3 separate regions of the Mus musculus genome follow, and regions 2 and 3 are each reported to be linked to region 1. The links are microRNA targets in miRTarBase. Many come from high-throughput screens and were not tested one by one. Region 1 holds a microRNA gene; each other region holds the end of a gene's coding sequence. Distances are between the middles of the regions.
Evidence for each region. The annotated mature microRNA mmu-miR-30b-5p reads UGUAAACAUCCUACACUCAGCU and lies in region 1 at 3,193-3,214, opposite strand. An mRNA with a match to its seed (bases 2 to 7 or 8) in the 3' UTR can be bound and repressed. Matches are read on the target gene's strand: a 7mer-m8 pairs with bases 2 to 8, a 7mer-A1 pairs with bases 2 to 7 and ends in A, and an 8mer does both.

Region 1 (7,875 bases):
GCTGGTAGTCCACATCAAGAATATATATATATATATATATATATATATATATATATATATATATATATATATATACACACACACACACACACACACACATATGCATAAATATAAGTAAGTATATGATGTTAAGCCATAACTATATGATCATTAAGCAAGAGAATAAAGAAGAAAACAACAGGGTGAAGACTACACCATATAGTGTCATTTGGTAGTATAAACCACAGGTGTGCGATTTTTTCATCTCTGATATATGAAAGAAGTTCCATTAAAGTTAAAAGGTGAATTGAATGGTCAATTCCTACATACACTTAATTTGATACTTTATAAAGCTACTCAGAGGTTGCATCTCTTTGGGATCCTTTATAATTTGTTAAAGTACACATAAATTTTAAAACAATGTAAGCATCTGACAAAGTTCAAATAAACGAGACACTTGAGGTTTTTTCTTTATTAATTTGCTAAATACTGAATTTGCAAGGTTACTTTTACTTCTTTACAGTCCAGGTGCTACCCACCTCCAGGTCTACCCTGCCACAGTTCCTCATCCTACTCCTCTCCCAACTCCAAGAGGATGTCCCTCCCCTCAACTCCTCCACACCCCCACCCCACTCCCTATTAGGCTTCCCCACTTCTTGGAGCCTCAAGTCTCTCCAGGTTAGGCCAGTCTTCTCCCACTGAGGCCCGACTGCTTTATGGGTTGGGGGGGCCTCAGACCAGCTACTGTATGCTGCCTTATTGGTGGCTCAGTGTCTGAGAGATCTCAGGGGTCTGGGTTAATTGAGACTGCTGTCTTCCTATGGAGTCGCCCTCCTCAGCTTCTTCCAGCCTTTCCCTAATTCAATCACAGTCCATTGGTTGGGTAAGTATTTGCTTCTGTCTCAATCAGCTGCTTCTTGGGCCTCAGAGGACAGCCATGCTAGGCTCTTGTCTGTGAGCACACCATAGCATCAGTAATAGTGTCAGGTCTTGGAACCTCGCCTTGAGGTGGAGCCCAAGTTGGGCTGGTCACTGGACCACCTTTCACTCAGTCTCTTCTCCATTTTTGTCCCTGCAGTTCTTTTAGACAGGAAGAATTCTGGGTCAGAGTTTTTGACTGTGAGATGGCAACCCCATCCCTTCACTTGATGCCCTGTCTTTCTACTAGAGGTAGACTCTACAAGTTCCCTCTCCCCACTGTTGGACATTTCATCTAAGGTCCCTCCTTTTAAGTTCTGAGAGTATCTCACCTCCCAGGTCTCTGCTACTTTCTAGAGGGTTCCCCCCCCCACTCCCCCCCTCAAGGTTGCATATCTCCATTTATTCTGCTGGCCCTCAGGGCTTCTCTCCTGTTTCTACCACCCCTATATCTGATCATGTTCCCCCTTTCCCCTCCCCTCCCCAGATCCCTCCTCCCTCCCTTTGCTTCCCTTGATGGCTTTCTTCTCCCTCCCAAGTGAGTGTCCTCATGGGCCCTTCTGCTTGTTAACCTTCTCTATGGATTGTATTCTGGGTATTCTGTACTTTTTTTTGGCTAATATCCACTTATTAGTGAGTACATATCATGCATGTCCTTTGGGGTCTAGGTTCTCTCAGTCAGAGTATTTTCTAGTTCTATACATTTACCTGCAAAACTCATGATGTCCTTGCTAATAGCTAAATAATATTCAATTGTGTAAATGACCCACATTTTCTGTATCCATTCTTCAGTTGTGGTGCATCTGGGTTGTTTCCAGCTTCTAGCTATCACAGATAAGGTTGCTATGAACATAGTGGAGCAAGTGCCCATGTGGTATAGTGGGGCACCTTTTGGGTATAAGCCCAAGAGTGGTATAGCTGGGTATTCAGAAAGATCTATTTCCAATTTTCTGAGAAACCTCCAGATTGATATTCAAAATGGTTGTACCAGTTTGCAATTCCACCAGCAATGGAGGATTGTTCCTCTTTCTCCACATCCTTGCCAACATGAGCTGTCACCTGAGTTTTTGGTCTTAGCCATTATGATTAGTGTAAATAATCTCAGGGTCATTTGATTTGCATTTCCCTGATGACTAAGGACTTTGAACATTTTTAAAAGTACTTCTTGGCCATTCGAGATTTTTCTGTTGTGAATTCTCTGTTTAGCTCTCTCTATACCCCATTTTTTGATTCGGTTGTTTGGGTTTTTGCTTCTTGAGTTCTTTCTATATTTTGGATATTAGGCCTCTATGGGATGTGGTGTTAGTGAAGATTTTTTTCCTCAATCTATAGGTTGCCAATTTGATTAACTGACTACATCCTTTGCCTTACAGAAGCTGAGAAGTTTCATGACGTTCCATTTATTAATTCTTGATCTTAGAGTCTGAGCCATTGGAGTTCTATTTAGGAAATACCCACCCCCACCTCCCCAGCCCAGTGCCAATGAGCTTGAGGCTCTTTCCCACTTTCTTTTCTATTAGAGTCAGTGAATCTGGTTTTATGTTGAGGTCCTTGATCCACTTGGACTTGAGCTTTGTGCCAGGTGACAAATATGGATCTATTTTCATTTTTCTACATACTAACTGCCAGTTAGACCAGTACCATTTATTGAAGATGCTTTCTTTTTTCCACTGTATATTTTTTGGCTTCTTTTTCAAATATCAAGTGTCCATAAGTGTGTGGTTTTATTTCTGAGTCTTCAATTCTATTACATTGATCAACCTGTCTGCCTGGTACAAATATAAAAGTAGCAGTTAGACCAATCAGGTCTGTGAAAAGGGTAATGGATTAAAAAATCTTAAAATAGTAACAATAATGATAACTACCGTATGTCAAGAACATTCAACTGACATCGACTCACTTCATCAACAATCCTGTCAGGTACTATGACAATGCAATTCAGCTGACAAAGAAGTGGAGACCAGGAAAATTAATACTTTCCTTAATTATTATAGAACCTGAAGCTAGGCTTAAGGCTATTTAGCAACAAATTACAGTGATATGTAAGATTTACACTACTTCTGAATCAAAATATTGGTATCATCTATATTAAGATAAACAAGTATCTATTTTAAATAGTACAGCAAGTATTTACTGAAAACCTAAATATAAACAGTATTTATAATAAGTGCCCTTTAGCTGGGCATGGTGATATACTCCTGTAATGCCACTTAAGTCATGTATCAATATGTTAACTGGTGGATACTCCAAGACAGCTGACGTAAACATCCACATCCCAGCCAACGCATGTATGACAGCTGAGTGTAGGATGTTTACATGAACTGAAACTTGGCTTAGAGAGAGACTTGAGAACTCTTTACTATGTTTATACTTGGTTTTTTACTTGAGGCTCAGACAATTTTGCAGAATCTGTTGAAAAAAAAATTAGGCACAGTGATCTACATGAGGACAAAATCAACTTGAAAGATATCTTCAGAGTAAGTATAGAATCCACAGAAACAGCAAACATTTATCGTTCTCTCTTTCATGCTCTCTCTCTCTCTCTCTCTCTCTCTCTCTCTCTCTCTCACACACACACACACACACACACACACACGTATGGCAAGAACACAGGAATTCTATAGCTTTTCCCACCTAAAGGCAACTTACTGTTCTGACAGCATTCAACTTTCTCCACCCTTTCCCTCTCTCTAAACAACTGCACCTCCATTTATAGGAGCCCATTTGATGGGCAATACGGTGTACCAATCCCCTATTCTTCCTTAACACCCAGGTCCTTGCACCACAGGCATGGCTTTCCCATATCTCTACCATGGGCCATTATTTAAAACATGGTAGCAAGGGGTAGCACAAGGACATCTACCCCTTTCTGTGTTCCTGATTTAATTAAAAAAAAAAATCACCAAATTCCTTTACTAAACATTAAAAGTTACTCTTGGAATACTTTCATCAGGGAAGAAGTCCTTAAATTAGGAAATAAAATTACATATAACACTGTCAGCAAACTAAAACTTCCTGGCATTTCAAAGATACGCCATCACCTCAGGAATCTCCTGTTTTCCTGGAGCAGCATTCTCAAAACTAATCTATCCCCACCTCCAACTCCTTTCTCCCCTTTAAACATGTTGCTTTTTCCTGTTTTCACTACAATTACAGTTTGCTTGTCTGATTTCCTGCTGTTTTTTGTAGACACATTTAATTCTTTGGGGTGGGCCAGTCCTTTTTTGCAATCAAACTTTAGGGTTTGGCATGGTGACACACACCTATAATTTGAGTGCTCTGGATTTTAGTTCTAGAGCAACAATAGAAACTTAGGAAATAAAGCAGATTCCTAAGCTCTATCCCAGACTTACTAGGGATGGAACTCTTTTTGGGGTCCTGCAGTCTGTGTTTTAGTAAGCTCACTGTAATTGTGATGCACAGTAGTATTTGAAAGCTGTTTTTCCTAAGTACATTGGGAAGCTAAAGCACTGGCAGCAGTGACTGTCCAATAATCAGGGTGTGCATAATGTACTACTGACAAAAGTTGACAAGCTCAAAACCTGTACCTTACAGTTCACCCTCGCCAACCAGCCTAGGCAAACAATCTAAGACAGAATAAGTTTAAAAGGTGCATAAACTCAGGAAATAAAACTAAACCTGTTTTTCAAAAACTTAGCATGCACAATAAATATCAGAACAGTAATCCAATGAATGCAGTTGTAACAAAATCCAAGTTGGACCCTGCTAATGCAACAGTGAATATGTTCTGGGTTAGAGGTTTATGGTCCTTTCTCAACTACACCAAGACTATTGTTGTGCAGAGAGAGACTTGAGACCATGGAGACAATGAGGACTCAACCAAAATGTATCTTTTTTCTATGAATATTTCTGAAATAGATTTGTAGAATGTATTAACTCAGACTTTATATACTTATAGTTGTCTGCTTAAAAATTAACTCCTAAATCATACACTGAGGAATAATATCATTTGTACAATGGCTGAGAACTACCTCGACATTTAGTATTCGTTGGACCAAAATAAACAAACATACAATAGTAAATAAATTTCTGAGATTTTTAAAACTGTACCAAAATTTACACATTTTCTCCTGAAAACCTAAGTTAAAGGCCAAGAAAACAATCTGTTTTAAGTTTATTGGAAAAGAAAGACAACCCAATTTTCATGGCTCAACATTCAACTGTCAATGGTGCAGGCCAACATGAAGTTTGTGGTGTTTTTAAGTTAAAACATAAATAAGTCATCTGCAGATGACGAAAAGGCTGTACTTAAATACATAGAACCAAGAACATTGAGGACGCAAGCGGACATGGTCTCTGATTTTCTTTCATTAGGGCAGAATAATACACAACAAATGTTTCACACTAGACTAGCATTAACCCTGAAGCATCCAGGGATAACTAGACTAGGTAAGCAGAGGATGGTAGCTTTGTGCATAATGACTCCTCCTCTTTTAGCTTAGATTTGACTTACCATTTAAAAAAACACTTCAAATAATTTTTAAATAAGTAAACCATGTAGTTTTTATCCATGCCATTGAATTTTAACTTACACATCAAGGTTTTATGGAAAATAACCAATGCCACCTGGCCAAACAAAATAATTCTATTAACAGAAGACACATCACACTCTACCTTGGCACAGAGAACTTTATGGGCTCCTAGCAATATCTCTGTCCAAAAATGATCAACCAAGCTCTTCTCTTAAATTAGTCTTGCACACTACCTTTCTAACAAAGTAGTACTTAAATGGATCCATAATAAAAACTGGAAATGCAACTCAGCAGTAGGTCGCTTGCTTAGCATGTTCAAGAACACTAGGTTCAAACTCCAGCACCAATAAACAAGTAAATGGAAATATACTATTAGAATAAAATCATTATTAGAGTACTGTATATCAATATACACATTTTATACATATGGTATAAAACGCAGAATTATAAAGACATAATATCCATGTCTCCAGAAAGGCTACAATCTAATCCAGGAGAAGCATATAAGAAATCAGATTGGCAGGAACTGTATCTTCTGTTTTAAGTCTAAACTGAACCTAACTCAGCTTAATAGTAACGAAAATAATGTCTGCTGGGTATAGTGGTGTGTACCTTTAATGCCAGCATTAAGCGGGCAGAAAGCTGGTGGATCTCTAGAAAGCTGGTGGATCTCTAGGAGTTACAGGCCAACTAGAGCTACACAGTGAAACCCTCTCTCAAACAAACAAATAAACAAACAAACAAGCAAACAAACGTCTTAAGAAATAAAGCTAATAGTAACCCAAAGAAAAATGTAAGTGAGAAAACATTGTAAAAGTTAAAAAAAAAAAAAAAAACAACCAAAACCAAAAACCAAACCCAATCAATCAAAAACCTCAGTAAGTTATGAAATTACACTGGTTCACAATAATTTTTGTCTATGATAGAAAGCCTAGATTATTTAGTATTGTGGAGAGAAATAAAAATGGAAAACAATACAACTACTCCCAAGGCAGCTGGGAGCCAAGCAATAACCTAAAGCTATCAGGTAGCTTAGTTTAATCCACAAGGGCATACAGAACCATTAGCAGATGTTGTGAAGAGGTCTAGTGGTTTGGGATTTCCAGACTGAGAAGAACGCTCTGATTAAGATTAGTTTCATCACAGGAGGAGGAAGCAAACATTTACATACAAATTAAGTACAGGGAAACCTGAAATTCCTAGGTTGTAGACTGCTGGGTGGGTGGTAGACATGAATAACCTACAGAGTTTATAGGGAAGAAAGTTGGTTTTCAGGATTGTTAGGAAGTTAAACTCTAGCCTATTTGAAAAAGGTATAAAGGATAAACTTGTACTGACACGGCAAAAACAGTATTAAAACTTGTTTTAGACAGATCCTCTAAGGCCAGAAGAAGCATGTTTAGTCAGCTCCCAACATTAGAAGCTGCCAGCAGAAGCAAGCAGTAAATGAATGCTCCTCAAGATTTCTGATGCATCCCAGGCATTTCTCAGCATCCTCAGCTCCAATCCTTAGGCCAGATTGTCCAAAAGATGCATTCGAAGAGCCAGTAGCAGCAAACATCTGACTGAAAGCTTGGCTGTGGCTTACAGCTTCCAGTCGGGGATGTTTACAGACACAGACTTTCTGACAGCAAGCTACAAAGGAACAGAGCAAATGGTCAGTCATTGCTTCCGCTACCGACTTTCACAACTGCGGAGCTGAATGACAACTGTGACATCTTGGGGGGAAAAGACAAACAATAAAGTAAACAATACTAGTTAATAAGGGAAGATAGTAATGTCTCTTGAATTATCTAATTAGAAAAGATTCAATACAAACTTTTCTATGTTACTCCACATGGACACATTTTTCTACCAGATGTATATGTTTTCTTTCTTCTCCACAAATCCAGAATTTCAAAATTAATAATAAATAACAATCTAAAAAGTAGATTGACCATACATCTCAGTTTTCCCAGACAGTCCTAAGTGATAGTACTATTAGAATTGAAGTTTCTCATTAACCAAACTGTCTTAATTTAGACACAAGTTTTGCTGGCAGTAACTCTATGCTGAGAAAGATTCTAATATCTTCCTCCCTATCCTTAGCTGAACTAGGTTAGGAATGTGGGCCATGGAAATGAACTAAGTGGGTAAGAAGAGGAACAATACCCGCCTTGGCTTTGCTTACAAAACAACACCGAAACATTTTGCTTTTGTTTCTTCTATTAGTTTCCTGAAAGAGAAAAGAAAGATTAAGTGATAATAGTAAATTTGTACTTTATAGATTAACTTTAATCTGAGACATATAAATTAACTTAAAAAATTAAAGTCTATTGAAGCAATTAAGTTTACAAAAAGCCAGTGATTTCTAAGAAATACAGTCATACACAAGCATCTACACCACACAAGAATAAACATTCAACAAGCTAATGCAAATCTAAAACATTACAAACTTCCTAAATACATACTACAAAGTAAAAGATTCTAACCACTGAAAATGCCC
Region 2 (7,755 bases), 34 Mb from region 1:
TATATAAGCGATGGTTTGAACACTGTCCTACCTCCATCTCCCAGTGCTGGGATTACAGGCATGTGCCTGTATCATGTTAGTATTATATAGGGGGAGGGAGGGAGGTAGAGATGATGCTCATCAGTCAAAAATGTCTGCTGCTTTCAGAAACAACCACATAGGGTGGCTCACAGCTGCCTATTACTCCAGCTATAGGAGATCTGGTTTCCTCTTCTGGCCTCTGAGTGTACCTATACACATGTGGCATATATACATGCACATAAATAAAAAATATGAAGTGTTATATTCTGAGGGGGTATCATGTTTGGTTGCCAGAGAGAGAAAATAAGAAAGCAGTACACAAATGTGTGTACTGGATGATGTCAGAAATTAGAACAAGAGAAAAGCAAAGACCCATTTAAGAGAAAAATATACAAAGAAACAACCTTGGATAGCAAACCACTGGAATGCAGGCAAGGAACGACTTCCAATGCTTGCCTATGCATGTCTACCTGGTGATGTGCCACCTGCAGGTTCCTGTTTGAAAAACAGCACTCAGGGCCTGACTTGAAGGAGAAACTGCTCATGGCCAAAGTGATCCCTCGTGGTGTTTCCAGATTTATTTCTAATGTTAAAGATTTTGTGTGTATGCGAACACACAGGCACACACAGGAGCTGGAATTGCAGGTGGTTGTGAGAGGCTTATCCTGGGTGCTGGGAACTTAACTCAGGTCTTCTGCAGAGCAGCATGCATTCTAAACCACTGAGTCATGTCTCTAGATTTCCTATATACGCCTCTTAAGCCTAACCTGTTGTTCCAAACAGATATCCAGGGCTTAATAGCAAAGACAAACCTGTCACAGACACTCCTCCAGTTCTTCCTCTTAATCAGTTACCTGTAACTATCTACTTGGAGACTTAAGAGATTTTGTTAGATGTGGGGATGGAGAGGGAGAGGGGAGCAGTAGCCTGGGCTACATGAGATATTGCTTCAAAATATCTTGCTTGGGAAGTCCTGAAGGAAGCCAATGGATCAGCTGGAGCTGGAGTCCTTGCAAATTGTGGGTCTCCCTGCCTGGGAACCAAATTCCAGTCCTCTGGAAGAGCTATAAGGGACCTTAACTGCTGAATGTTTGAACTTAGAATTTGGACTGATACATGGATTTGTCTCCCTTGCAGCAAGTCAGTGAGCTTGGTCCCATTTTATAGCTCTATATATAGTTATATATATTTAAAACTAGGCTTACAAATACAGTGAGTTATTTATGTGTTCAGGGAGTTCCCGGTTTATTGGTGTGTGTGAAATTCCTGTGAAGTCAACTCCCTACCATTCCTGTGGTGGTGGCAAAGAGAACTGAGGGCCTTGTGATTACCAGGCCAGCATCTTACCACTGAGCTAAATTCCAACTTCACACTGATTCCAGGACTGACCAGTAAGCATTGTATTAGAAAAGTCTGTCCCAGAGAAAGTCCGTATTCTCTCTTTACCTCTCCGAAAAGCAAGCCACCTGCCATTGTTTGCATTGGTTTATTTTTGGTTGTGTCACATCTTAATTTTTCTGTAGCTAAGTTGTTCCTGTCAAAAGTTAAATTAGATTTAGGGTTGTAGTTAGAATATATTTGCCTATATCCATGATATAGAAACCTACAAATTTTTTCTTTCATTTTTGTTTTCAGGCAGGACCTTACAGAGCCCATGTTGGCCTCAAAACCTCTCTATAGCTAAAGATGACCACAAACTCCCTTTGATATTTGTCAGATCTTCAATAATACACCTCATAGAACCTCACTTTAAGTGAGGCACTTGCTGCTCCCCTAGAAGAGCTTTATGCTTGGCTCTATCACATACAGTTGTGCTCTAACCTCCAGGCAACATCATTCAGATTTAGCCATTTTATCTATGCACATTCAGAAACTTTTCCAGGAGCTATCAGTTCAGTATCTTAAAAGTGTCTATGGACCCTTAGTCATTTCTTCCAAGGTAGGCATTTGAGAGTACTGAATAGTCAAGCTCACCTCTGATGTTCCCATGCTGTCACTATTTCACTTAAGAACACTGGTGGGTTTAGATGTAGATTTATTATGCTTTAAAGTTTCTCGAAGTGTTGCATATATTAAATTTGAATACTTTGGTACATATGAAAAGGAAACCACACAAACATAAAATGGCTGGACCAGCAAGATGATTCTGTGGTAAAGTGCTTGCTCCCAAGCCTGAAAGAAGAATCTCCAGAAAGTTGTCCTCTAACCTCCACATGAGTGCCACAGTACATGTGTACCCAAACACATAATGTAATAAAACACAAGCCAGGCAGTGGTGGTGTATGCCTTTAATTCCAGGACTTAGAAGGCAGAGGCAGGTGGTTTTCTGTAAGTTTGAGGACAGCCTGGTCTACAGAGCAAGTTTCAAGGTCAGTCAAAACTACACATAAAAACTGTCTCGAAAATCCAACACCAAACCAAACCAAACCAAACCAAACCAAACCAAACCAAACCAAACCAAACCAAACCACAACACCAGACAGAAAATAAACAAAACCAATCCTCCCTCCAATAACAACAAAACCAATCCCACAATGGGAAATCACATGCATGCCTTGATGCTAGAGTTAGAAATCACTGTCTTGTTTAAAAATGTCTTACATTAAAATTTAGTCAACACTTGCAGCGTGTGGTAAATAATCAATTATTTAGTGTGGTGGCATGAACATGTGCAAGCCAGAGTAGGACACTGGGACTCTTCCTGAGCTTGCAGCAAGGCTGCCACCAGCAAGGCCCCTGTTCTTACTGTGTCCGTCTCCTTCTCACACTACAGTGCTGGGAGTCAGTCATGCTTGTGCAATGAGCAATCTTACCTGAAGCCAACTCCCCAGCTCTCAAGCTGTTACAGAGCAGCAAAAATTCTTTCTGGACTCTACTACACAGAAAATTGGGCCAACCGTGTGGGTCACACCATTAATGGTAGTGGTGCATGCCTTTAACCCCAGCACTTAGAAGGCAGACAGAGGCAGATGGCAAGCCTGGTGTCCTGAGTGAGATTTAAGACAGCAGGAGATACATAGTGAGATTCAAGGGGGGAAAAAAAAAGAAATTGAGAGCATCCAAGAGCCTTCAATTTCTGCACAGCTGGAAAAGCTAAATCGACCTCATCAGTGCTTTGGTGCAGCAGAGAGACTGTGTTAGAGACTAGCAGCATCTGATACCAAGTCTCTTCCTCAGTAACAGAAGCATAAAATATGAATCTGGTCAACAGGCACCTTGAGTAAGAGCTACTCCTGGCCACTACCACCCCATTCTTTATGGCTGATGGGACCAAGCACCTTTTGCAAATTAAGTCTCCAGAGTGATGTCTATGAACATTCTCTGGGAAATGCTTTTTCCAAGTGGCTCAGGTGCTGACAAGAATTGTGAAGTGAAAACCATCTGTTTCCAACCAGGAATCAACATAGAAGAATCCTCGCTGCTGTACTGTGTACTAGGCCTGGGTTACATCCCCGACCAGTTATGAGTATGTATTTGTTTGTGCAGGTGTGCATGTGTGTAAACCAGGGATTAACACAGCTGTCCTCTTAGATAACTCTTCATACCTTTATAAAGGCAGGGTCTCTCTGACCTTGTAACTCAACAATTTGATTAGACTGGCTGCCGGCAAGCCTCCCTATTACAGAGATTACATGTTCACACTAATACATCCAGGTTTTCTAAATGTGGGATTTAGTTATCTACCACACTTTAAGGATTGAGCCATCTCCCCCAGATTTATTTTTTAATACTTACAGAAAGTATTTATTTACTTTACAACCTAATACCAGCCCCTCTTCTCCCAGTACCAACTCCTTGCAAGCCCCTGTTGCCCCTAAATGTCCCCCCACTCACATGTTAAGTCGCTGCATCTACCCAGATTTTTATATACAATAGAAGCAAACTATCATAAGTCACTACACTACTGTTTGGCAATGCAGTTAATCTACCACATACCAACTAATGCACGTCAAATTCTAGTTTAATTCCTTTAACCTAAAAAAAAAAAAAGTCATACTTACTAAGATGACTTATGGCTGATTCCCATGGAGGACACTATCATAAGTGCTCATTCTCTTTCTCTTGACCACCCTTCACGCCCCAGACAGGGTCTCACTATGTCCCGGAACTCACAGTGTAGAGACTTTCAGAGATCTGCCTGTCTCTGCCTACTGAGTGCTGGAATTAAAGGAATGTATAACTCTGCCCAGCTGCACATGCTCATTCTCAGAGGTTTGTAACTTTGAATATTTGGTTTGTTGGTGGCAAAGCCTGAAATGATGATTTTAATGAAAGGAAAAGTAAAATCCATGAACCAAAGGCGTGATATCTTATTAGACCACAACAAAAGGACAAAGTCCCTTCCCACAGAGAATGTAACAATTTAAACAAAACAAAAATGGTCTGTTTTATTTACAACACTCAGTGCATCTTACACATGACATATTTTCATTCCCCAAGTCTTTTGAAAGCAATTCCAATTCTAGTTTGTGCAAAGAATTTACAGAAAAACTTTAAAATAGCCATTAGACCTTAAACTTAAATCCTAAATTTTGATATTTCACACTATATTAATAGAGGACTACTTTTAATTAAGAAAAACCAAACGCTGCAATTAATTACTACACTCTGGGATCTTTAACTCAAATACAAACTGGATTAGCCTATGAAATAATACCATTAGATTTGGATAAATTATTCCAACCTCCCATCCCCAATAAAATGCATGCACAAATGAAACATGGTAATTACATCAATGATATTTCAACTTTTATTTTTGGACTCTCTCAACTGTTTGTTTCTCAATTTAGGGTATAGGTATAATGCAGTTGGAGAACTCTGACATGGCCACGCCCTGCTCCACAACAGAAAGGCTTTTCAGAGAGCCTATTTCAGGGAAACAGGTGGCATCAGAGTTTTCTGAGTTGATGACAGAAGCCAGTTCCTCTGTTCAGTGACAAAAAAAAAAAAAAAAAAATCACTGCCCTGCCACACAAAGATCTATAGAGAGGTAAAGAGCAACGATTTTAAGAGAACTGGATTTTGACTCATATACCTGCCTCCTTCTACCGGCGTGGGGGTTGGGGGGGAGGGGGGCCTGGCTCACAAGCCAGCGAGAAGGAAGGCACAGAGGCGACTTCCACACTGACCTACCCAGTGTATCGCTGTGCTTCCACTCCCATAATACACATCTCTTCAAAAAGGTGATATTCTTACTGCTAAGTGTAGTTACCACCTCCTACAAGTGATTGAATCGGGAGATACTGAACCGAAAAATAAAGTTTCTGATTTGACCTAGCCCAGAGAATTATAAGGAAAAGGAACAGTGAGGTAGAGTTGAGAGAGTTCAATTAAACTTGTGAGCACTGACCTTGGCACACTCTGTAATTACAAACCCCTCATTAATCTCTCCTTGAGACATATCTTGGCATCCCCTGAGGGAACACGAAGCTCAAAGCAGCCATCTGAAGGCTCCATTTGTGGCACATCAGCTCTTATTCACCTCAATAGTGAAGCAAATAAAAACAATGCTACCCAGTTCTGAATTTATTTAAACAAGTAAATTAATTTAGAAATTCCATTCAAAGAAAACTTCTGACGACATGTAAACATACTGCCATGTTCTTGAAACAGATGTTAACACCCAATAAAAAAGTTGTTAATCACTTCTGAGGAAAGCTGTCCATTAATAAGGCCAGTCTTCAACAGAACAAAAACCATTTTAGCTTTCCTAGTTGACAATACTATTAAACTACAGTTTAAGGACAGTATTTAATGGATAGATCAGTACCATTGGTTATAGCTTTTAAACAGGTTCATTTCTGGCGCCACATGAAAACAAGCCACTCACATCAATAAATCATGGCTTTTTTTAAAAAAATCACAATTTACTAAAGTGATGTTAATTATGGTCCTTGTCAAACACGTTTGGTAAAGGCTATTTACAGTGTACATGGCCGAGCATGCACTATTAACAGTTACAGAGAGGCCTGCCACTTTCCTAGGGATCACACAGTGCCTGAAAATGGTGACAGATCATACGTCATTCAAATCAACACAGTTTCAAGCAGAAAATGTTCCTTTCTGTTTTTAACCACAATTGCAATAGTTACATGAAAATTCTTATAAAAACACGAATCCCCTTCAAGAAACTGATGCATATTCTACTCACTACAGGAGGTTAAGGCAGTAAAAAAATGTATTCCTGATAACCGGAGGTCTCCACAATATCAATTAAAGCTGTCTGACTACTTTTGCATTCTCCGTCATATGCTCAAAAGTTGCGAATTACTTCATTTTTAAGGTAAAAAAATTACTAGCAACTAAGAGTTGACACTGGAAAATTGCTAGGGAAAGGAAAAACACTAAGTTGGATTTGCCTGAAAACTTTTCAAATCATAAACAAGAGCATTGTTAGTCTCAGTCTTAATGTATCAAACAAATAATATATTTACCTTTCTTAATTTAAAATATACTGTTATTTTGAATAATTCAAGTAATGTTAAGACTATCAAAAATAACTTTGTAAGTCATACAAGTGTCTGTCAATTGCATTTTTTAATGTTTTAATTTAGAACTTTTAAAGAACTGTAAACTAAACCAAGACAGTTTAGTTAAATAAATGATAAATGACCTTTTAATTTGCACTTGTGATTCTTTTAATACAAACTGCTACAACAAATATGTAAAGATATGGCAGATTATACATTTGATCAAAGCACTTTGATTTAAGCATAAAACAGATTCAAATGGTCTAAGGTCGTGCATAAGATCCAAGGACTTGCCTACTGGCCTCACGGCAGCCTTCTCTCTAATCAGAATCCATTCATTATTCCTCAGCTGCAGAGGAGACAGGGCACAGTCTGTTGTAAACAGGTAACTGTTGTAAAACCAGGATAATAGTCTTAAATTACGATCATTCTCGTTCAATTGAAAAGACTCTCCCAAGTGTCTTCCAGCACTGTGTATTCTGTTGACCTCTTTATTTCATAAATTAACTTTCCTTTGATTCCATTTTATGGTGGTTGTGTTCAGTTTTGTTTTAAAAATTGGTTTAAATTTATATAAAACTCTGTACATGTTCACAAATTATTGCATAAACAGCATAATCTTCAAGACAGTGTTTGTAAACACATGTCCAATTCAGGAAAAAAAAATTCACGTTTCCCGTCTGGCCTTTTTCTTCTTTTTTATTTGTTTTGGAGATTCCCAGTTAGTTTCAGACTTGGCTAAATGGGAAAAAAAGGGAAGGAGAAGGTGAGGAGAGAAAAAAAATGTAAGGAGGATAACCAGTATATATCAACAATATAAAAGTAACAACTATGGTGCCAGGTAGTGGTGGTGCATGCCTTTAGTCCCCACACTCGGGAGGCAGGTAGATTAGTTCAAGGCCAGCTTGGTCCATCCACCAAGTTCCAGGACAGATAAGGCTACAAACAGAGACCCTGTCTCAAAACAACAACAAAAAAAATGAAACATAAAACAAAACACCCGCCCCCAAAACCCAAAAAGTAACACTGATGAAAAAACTCTACTAATGTTAACATTTTATTGTTTAATAAGTCTTCCAGTCTTGGATATTTTCAAGTTAGCTATTCTCTGCCTCCCTTCTTTTACAGCCCAGGGTATTAATTGTAACTGCTGACACTGAACTGATGGCAACCTACAGAATCTGCTTTTTCTTTTTCTTTTCTTCCCTCCTGCCTCTTTTTGAGAGGGGACAGCCTTATGTTGCTTAAGCTGGCTCCTTGGGAT
Region 3 (7,875 bases), not on the chromosome of region 1:
CTTTTCGTGTTTACTTCTAGTGTTTTCGTAGTTTGCCTTTTTTTTTTTTTTTAATTTTAAAGAACTGTATAAAGGTCTGCAACGTGCAATGTATTTGCTTTCTGTTGACTACAGGGCTGTTGATAATCAGGTGTATGTGGCTACAGCCTCTCCTGCTCGGGATGACAAAGCCTCGTATGTGGCCTGGGGACACAGCACTGTTGTGGATCCTTGGTGAGTATGTCTTAGGCTGAGCTCAGCTGGAAGTTGAAAGATGATACAGGGTCATTTTTCTACAATTCCTACCCTTTCATCCATACACCCGGACAAGCATAAGGGAAGCTTTTTACTTGCAACCCACATGATAAGAAAGCGGATCCTGCTTGCTCAAGTGTTGTCATCTTTGCTTGTCTAGGTAGTCCTGGTAGTCATACAAAATAAACAAGGCAGCAGCGTAGGCAAGCGGTTGCTTTTAGGAAGAGATCTCAGAATTCTTAGTTTGCATCTGGCTAAAATTTAGGCTGAGTGACTGGTTCAAGGGCAGGAATGAGAAGCAAGGCAAGAGTGTTACTCCGCGTGTAATGATTAGAGATGGGGGACTGGGTTAAAGCAGTGGTTCTCATGCTGTGCGTCACAACTCCTCCACACATCAGATATCCTGCATATCATATATTTACGTGATTCATAATCGTAGCAAAATTTCAGTTATGAGGTAGCAGCCATAAACCATAATTTTGTGGTGGTGGTGGTGGTGGGGTCACCACACCATGAGGGTCATACCATTAGCAAAGTTGAGAACCATAGGGTTAGAAGAAACTGACTGTCCCCCGTGAAACGGCAAAGAATTTTACCACTGAGAACACAGAACATCACACAGATGTTTCTCCATGGACATATCACACGGTTGGCAACTGTATGTGTAATTTGACATTCACATATAGAATCTCAGTCAGACACATGTCCTTACTAGAACTTTGGACTTCAAAAGTTGGCTTTGGTCCAGGCTACTTGTGTATACACACACAGTATTTCTACAATTTCAGAATAAATAAAGGGTCCTAGAAAGGAGTGTCCCCTGTGTGTATGATTCTCAGTAGTTGCACACACCAGGGTTTATGGGCATTGGAGAAGTGGGTTAGGCTGGATTCTGTCACATTCCTATCTAGATGTTGGTGAAAGGCTCCACAGCCAGTTCTCCTGGTGGCTACCTAGAGTGGCTGTTGCAGAGTAATTTTTGTGTGTTATATGCGCTTCCTTTTTTTTTTTCCCTGAAGGCTTTTGAGGCCTTTCAGCCTATGACTTTAGGGTGGTCGGTGTCTGGGTGGGAGTGACATTAGAGAAAGAACTTTGAATTTGCCAGGACAGATGGGTGGGAATTAGGATTCAATCAAATGAAATTAATGGTATTGGTATTTCATCCTTGCTGAGAGTCTGTGGCTGTCTGATAAGTACAGTCAGTTAATTGTGCCAGATGGTTTGTTTTGACATATTTGGAAATTAATCATTTCTCCAGATAGATATATTATTGAGGCCCTGCACTGGGCCAAAAGGCTGGTTACTGCAAAGTTTTCCAGAATAGCCTTCACCTGGTCGTTTGAAGGGCTGTTGCTCCTGTCAGCACACTCTTGTTATTCAGACACTGGGTAAAGTCTTGTCCTCCAATCCGAAACTCCAAAGCATAGGGAGCCAGGGATCTCAGCCACACAGGTAGAGGGTTCTTGTAAATCTGGACCCTGTATAGGCCCGGCCTCATTACCCTCAGATGTGGTTGCAGTTGGGAGCACATGAGGGACAGACGGAGACCTTCCTTAGGAGGGGCTTTTTCCTGTTGACTCTTGGCAGCTCTGTTCCCAGATACTTATAATCATGAATGAGCTATGGCTTTCCAGGAGTGTGCAGTTTATTAAACATATCCCACTTTCCTTACCAAGCCTCACAGGACTCCTATTTCCACATGATGTGCCACACGTTCTTAACATAAATAACAGAACCAGAATTTATACTACTTTTTTATTTTAGATCTTAGAATCTTTTTTTGGCCTGGTACACAAGGAGGAAATATAGAGAACTTGAGGTTGGCGAATCCCCATTCATTCTCTGGATTTTCTTCAGGGGGCAGGTCCTAACCAAAGCTGGCACGGAGGAAACAATCCTGTACTCAGACATAGGTAAGCTTTGCCCTGCTGTGGTTATGGTTTCTGGGGCTCCCACTGCTCTCAGGCCAGTCTGTGGCTGACTTGGAAGGGTTCCGTTGTGCGCTGCTCTTCTATCCTGGTGATATCCTGGTGTTGAGGGTGAGCTCTGGGGCTTTGTCTCACTAGGTTTTGTTTAGTTTGAACTGACCCAGGACCAACTCCAGGTCACCAGCATCCAGACAAGGCAAATGTTCCTAGGTCACTTGCTGAGACTTTGGTCTGGGGACAAAATTTAATTGCTTGGTTAAGTAGTTGCAAATTATTAATCATGTGTGTTCCTGTTTTTGCAGACCTGAAGAAGCTGGCTGAAATTCGGCAGCAAATCCCCATTTTAAAACAGAAACGAGCAGACCTCTATACAGTGGAATCAAAGAAGCCTTGATATCTGTTTCAAAAATGTCACCAACAGGATGATGCTCTGTCAGATGATCAACTCTACTACATCTCTTTTTTTTGGAGGGAGGGGGGAACAGGGCCATTTCATGTTAATTCTATCAATGATCTGTGCCACAAGGTCCCCTATTTTAATTAAAAGTTTCATCTTTAATTAAAATGTGCTTGGTAACAATGTTCTAGCTCTTAACTAGTCTGATGGTTCCTAGGCATTTCAGTCCCAAGATCCTTTTGAACAATTAAAAACTGAAGCCTCTAAGCATTGTTTCCATGTGTGGTGGGCTGGTCCCATCTGTCTGAGAAAATGTACATTTACCAGAACACTAATTTTCATGGTGCTAATATCCCATCAACATGACACTTTTAAAACTTTTTATTAAAAATTGTTTTCATACAATATATTTTGATGTTTTTCTTCTTTCCCAATTCATCTCCACTCATCCAGATTTATGTTCTTTTTCTTTCTAAAACAAACAAAAACTCCATAAAATGAAAATCAAAATTAACAAGCAAAAGACCAATAAAGACAAAAGAAAACAAAAAGTCCACAAAAAAACCAATAGAGCTGAATGTGCCACTTGTAAACAGGAATAGATGTGCAGCTGGGACCCGTGACCTACACAATACTGGTTTAGCACATGGCTGGTTCAATACCATGCTGGTAAATCAAAACTTTTCCAATATATAAAAGCATATAGGCTATTATTATGGTTACTTACAGAAGAGTAAGAAAAGCCAGTGATTAAATAAAAATGAAGTATATGATTTAGTAAGATTTAGCACACACACATTCATCTATGAAATACCAGTCAAGAAAGTGAATATCTGTACTGCCACCAGGAGTTTCTTTATAAGCATTTGGACTATTTTTGTCTGTGTATGTGTCATGGGTATGTGCAGGTGCTGAGGTCAGAAGGAATTCCCCAGGGCTGCAGTCAGAGGTATTCCTAAGCTGTCCAATGTGGGTGACAGGAACTGAACTTAGGTTCTCTCCCAGAGCAGTAAGCACTCTTGAACACTGGGCCATCTCTTCAGCCCCTCCCTAGAGTCTTCTAAGAACTCTAGTTATTCAACTACTGATAAGCTTTATCAACAGAGAGCTTTGAGTTTTCTAGAGTTATGTAAAAAGTGAATTATAACCTAGTACTTTTATCTTACCTGTGTATCAGTGATGTATTACTTGTTGATGGAAATTTGAGTTCTTTCTGCCTTTTGAATGAAGGAGTCAGAAACAATCTTTTCATGTCTGGAGCAGTAGAGTTGTGGGCTCATATATCTACTTCACTATCAAATCGCTTCCAAAGTGATCATACCATTTGACAGTGCTGCCAACAACTGTATGAGTTCTAGTCGTTGTGCTGGGATTATAGGCACAATGCCATAAGCAGGTTCTTCTCAGTAGATTTAGTATTTCTTGGGCTGGTAAAATGGCTCAGGATAAAAGCAGGCCTCTTTTGCTCTGTAGGCCTGACAACCCGAGTTCAATCTTTAAAGCCTATGATGGAAGGGACCGATTCTATAAAGTTGCCCTCCACATGTACACTTCACACAATAAAACATTAAAAACTGATCAGTCACTCATACTAATCTTTTCACATGTATCTTTGGTAAAATATCAGTTGATAACTTTTGCCTATATTTTTATGGCTTTATCCTCAAATGATAAGTTGTTTATATATTTTGATGTACATTTTTTGTCACAGTCTCCTGCTCTAAAGGGGGAAAATGACATTTACCAGAGCTCACACTGGGGATTAAGCCCAGATCTCAATGCTAAACATTCTCCTTACCACAGCTGCAACTTCATTTATTCTCTTAGAATTTCATCATTTTCTATCTTGCTAAGTGACTCTACCATCTCTGTCACCTAAGTACTGAGATTATAGGCTTGTTCCATCATGCCAACTAATTTTTATTTTTTAAAAAAGTATTATTTGAAGAACAAACTGTATTTTCACAAAGGTCAACTTATTATTTTTATTCCTTTAAAATGATTGTTTATGTTTAGTTATTTTGCCCGTGTGTGTGTGTGTGCCCGTGTGTGTGCCCGTGTGTGTGCCCGTGTGTGTTGCCTGAGGAGGCAGAAGGTGTCTGATCACCTGGAACTGGACCTACGGGGAGTTAAAGGCAGCTTGTGAGCTGCCACATGAAGTCCTGGGAACCAAACCTCTCCAGCTCTCCCTTATTTCCTTTTGAAGTTGTCCTCTTTTGTGTCCTCTGATGTTTATGGCTTTAGCTTACTTAAGTTCTCAAGTTCTCTCCATGGTTGAGACTATGATTAAACTACCGTGTGGAGTCAGCACGGAGAACGTAGCTCCATCATAACATATGACAGATGGCTTTCTAGGCTGAGTCTAAGACACAGATAAAGAATGAATCCTCGCAGGAAATTTCATGACCACACCAATAAAACCTTGTATATATCTATCTTCAAAGTTAGTTTGAATCAACAAGAAACTGACTGAAGAGGGTTTCAGTTAAAAAAACAAACAAATTTCCTATCTTTCTGTTTCAAAAATGGATAGAAAAGCTTGAATGTAGTATTTATTTTGTGAATTTACATGTGAAGCCATTTACAAAAGTAAAGATACAGACAGATGCAGCTTTCAGTGCAGTTTCAAACATGTTCACAACAAGCAAAACATTTGAGTATCTGGAATGACAGTATTGAACGGCACATGCTTCAGTGTTTCCTACCCTACCCCAAGAAAGAAGGGAGAAGAGTAGAAGATGTCCCTATTAATGTAAATACAGCCATGCAAATAAAAAACTTTTAAGCGAAGAGGTCACATTCAGAGATGTAGGACATTTCTGTATTTAAGGTTATCATCATTGGAGAATTATTTCACAACAAAATGAAGATCTCTCCAACTTTCCATTATCCCAGTCACCTTAAATTACATTAATTGTTCCTAATGATATCAGCCATAGGCTAACCAGCATCGTCCAAAAACTGACTTTATAAGAGGAGTCATTTCTAATATTTTCTAAAAAGACAGCATCTGTAGACAAAATCATTTTGGTTTCAGTGGGATAAAGCACCCTTTTAAAATAAGAGTGTAAAATGCTCCTTTACTCTCAACAATGTAAACTATAATTATAAGCAGGCTTGCTTTTTTAAAAAATCATTTTACTTAAATAAACCTCAACCTGTCCTGGATCTTGGAAACAGACTCAGTAAGAACACATCCCTCCCCAACCAGAAAACTCCAGCAGATAAGTAAGTAAAAGGATAGGCTGTGAAAGTGAGGAAGAGAAACAGCTTAGAGAGTCAAAAGAGGATGAGGTACAGATCAAAATGAACAGAACCAACTGTCAGCATCCCTGGAGATGTGGATGTGGGCCATCCGTCCTTAGAGGTGAAGGTCACCTCAATACAGAAGTACTCTATGTATTGGACAGCTCTGGAAATACTGGCTCAAATCCCTAAGTTAGCAGCCACAGCTACACCACTGAGGTTTCCATTTCAAACAAGTATGTCCTGGCTTCAGGACTGACATCCTTTAGAACCTTTACCAAATTTCTGTCACTAGAAAATTGAAGCTAATTAAATACTCCTATATATCATCACATGTACTCCACCTGTACGTGGGTTGCTCACATACACCCACTTTCATTTAAAAGCATACTATTAAATAGTACTTACTATGGAATAGGCACGGCCAAGTATATACATGTCTTGTTCATCTTACCTGCCTTGTTCAGTCCCTCATTAAGTCTTCCTGTACAAGTATCAATGAGAATATTTTGCTTCTGCATAATTTACTAAAGTTCTACAGAATCAGAGGCACTGTGCATGCTGACAATAGCTTAAAGTCTTTCAATTTTACTGAAATCCACATTGAAGCTTTTCATCCTTCAAAAAAAATTAAAAAGGATTAATTGAATACAAAAGAAGTATATTTTACAGCACTTACTATGTTAAAAACTAACATACTATAAAATACTCACATATTATACAAACAGCTATAAAAAAACAAAATCATTCAGAACATAATCCCCACCCCAATATTAAAAAAAAAAAACAAATCAACAAATCAAAGTTTTTATTTGCATGGCCAATTACTGTTTGTATTCTACAACTTTGTTTTAATATCCCTTTAACAGGTTCTAAGCTTTTGTTGCACAGGGAATAAAAGCTGCAAGACTGCAAACTTCCTTCAACAGCCACGCCCACTACACCTAAACATGAAACAGATGTAATGAATGACAACATCACAAAGGGACTACTAAGTTCCACCGTTCAACAATTTATGACAGTGTCTTCAGGGTTGAGTTGAAGAGGGGGTAAACTTCTTTGAAAAGAGTCAGTCTGTTTCCCCTGTGTTTATAATGTCGGCGGTTTTAATCCGTATTTCTTTGCTACTTCTGTCTGGGCATGGGCAGCATCACAAAGTGAATACAGATGAGCCATCTCCATTTCCGACTTGGCCAAGTTGATAGCTTTGTTGAACATGTCAATGGCTTTCTCCATGTTTCCTCTAAAAGAGCAAAAATTCAAAGATTCTTCAACAAGCAGTTCTTAATAACCAATAAAGTTTAACTGTGCTGCATGAAGCCTTCGATTGTAATTCTAATAAAACGTTTCTTTCATAATAAAAAGGCCTAGCACAGCATACTGAAAACACTAATGAATCCACCTTACACCCCAATATATTCATCTCCTCCTCTCCTCCCAGTCCCTCCTCCAACAGCTCTTCCCCTACTCCCTCTCCCCTTCTCCTCTGAGAAGGGGAAGCCCCTGTGAATATCCGTCCACCCTGGCACGTCACGTCTGCAGGGGTAGGCACATCCTCTCTCACTGAGGCCATCATGGCAGCATATTCTGCCTACATTATCTTGAATCCTTTGTTAAATATGGGAAGACTAGGGTAACTAAGTTGGTTACTTAAAAACCCTAATTTTCCTGGTTCCTAAGCCTGTATGTTTCTGGTCAAATATGAGGCTTCTGGCAATACAGAGCATTAGTAGCCCTCAAACGCTTGCCCCTTAAAGGACTGACTCCATACTCTTACTACCTTATCTCTCACCCCAAATGCCATGCAGTCAAAGGTCAATCCCAGTTCCCTGACCATGTCAACCCTGATCACAAAGAGCCTCAGGTTATTGTCTCTGTTTAACTCTGTTCAAATCCCTACCTTTGAGGGCCCACTTCAAATATAGTATTGTATACTCTACACCTAAGAACTAAATACTTCATTCCCAATATTCCTCACAGTTCTCTTGGGCCCATATACATAGGGAGACGACTTTACTAGCTCATTCGTACGTATCTTTCAGTTCAAGCAGCTAAGTACAAAGGTTAGTA

Region 2: miRTarBase lists Mtdh as a target of mmu-miR-30b-5p. Seed matches in the 3' UTR shown: 8mer at 7,126-7,133, 8mer at 6,868-6,875, 7mer-A1 at 6,590-6,596 and 8mer at 5,605-5,612.
Region 3: the mRNA of Tomm70a is a reported target of mmu-miR-30b-5p. Seed matches in the 3' UTR shown: 7mer-A1 at 5,653-5,659.

Annotation. Positions count from the first base shown.
Region 1 is chr15:68,334,277-68,342,151 of GRCm38, forward strand. It overlaps Mir30b (microRNA 30b), which reads right to left and starts at 3,234; the gene lies at 3,139-3,234. Mir30d (microRNA 30d) reads right to left here and starts at 7,013; the gene lies at 6,932-7,013.
Region 2 is chr15:34,140,166-34,147,920 of GRCm38, reverse strand. Mtdh (metadherin) reads right to left here. Exons shown (of 12, transcript NM_026002.5): 12 at 4,384-7,229. The coding sequence ends at 7,159. Among named protein-coding and RNA genes, the nearest start is that of Gm38594, 22 kb to the left of the region's middle.
Region 3 is chr16:57,151,756-57,159,630 of GRCm38, reverse strand. Tomm70a (translocase of outer mitochondrial membrane 70A) reads right to left here. Exons shown (of 12, transcript NM_138599.5): 12 at 5,101-7,048. The coding sequence ends at 6,895. It overlaps Nit2 (nitrilase family, member 2), which reads left to right. Exons shown (of 10, transcript NM_023175.1): 8 at 115-213; 9 at 2,092-2,147; 10 at 2,465-2,966. The coding sequence ends at 2,556. Among named protein-coding and RNA genes, the nearest start is that of Nit2, 12 kb to the left of the region's middle.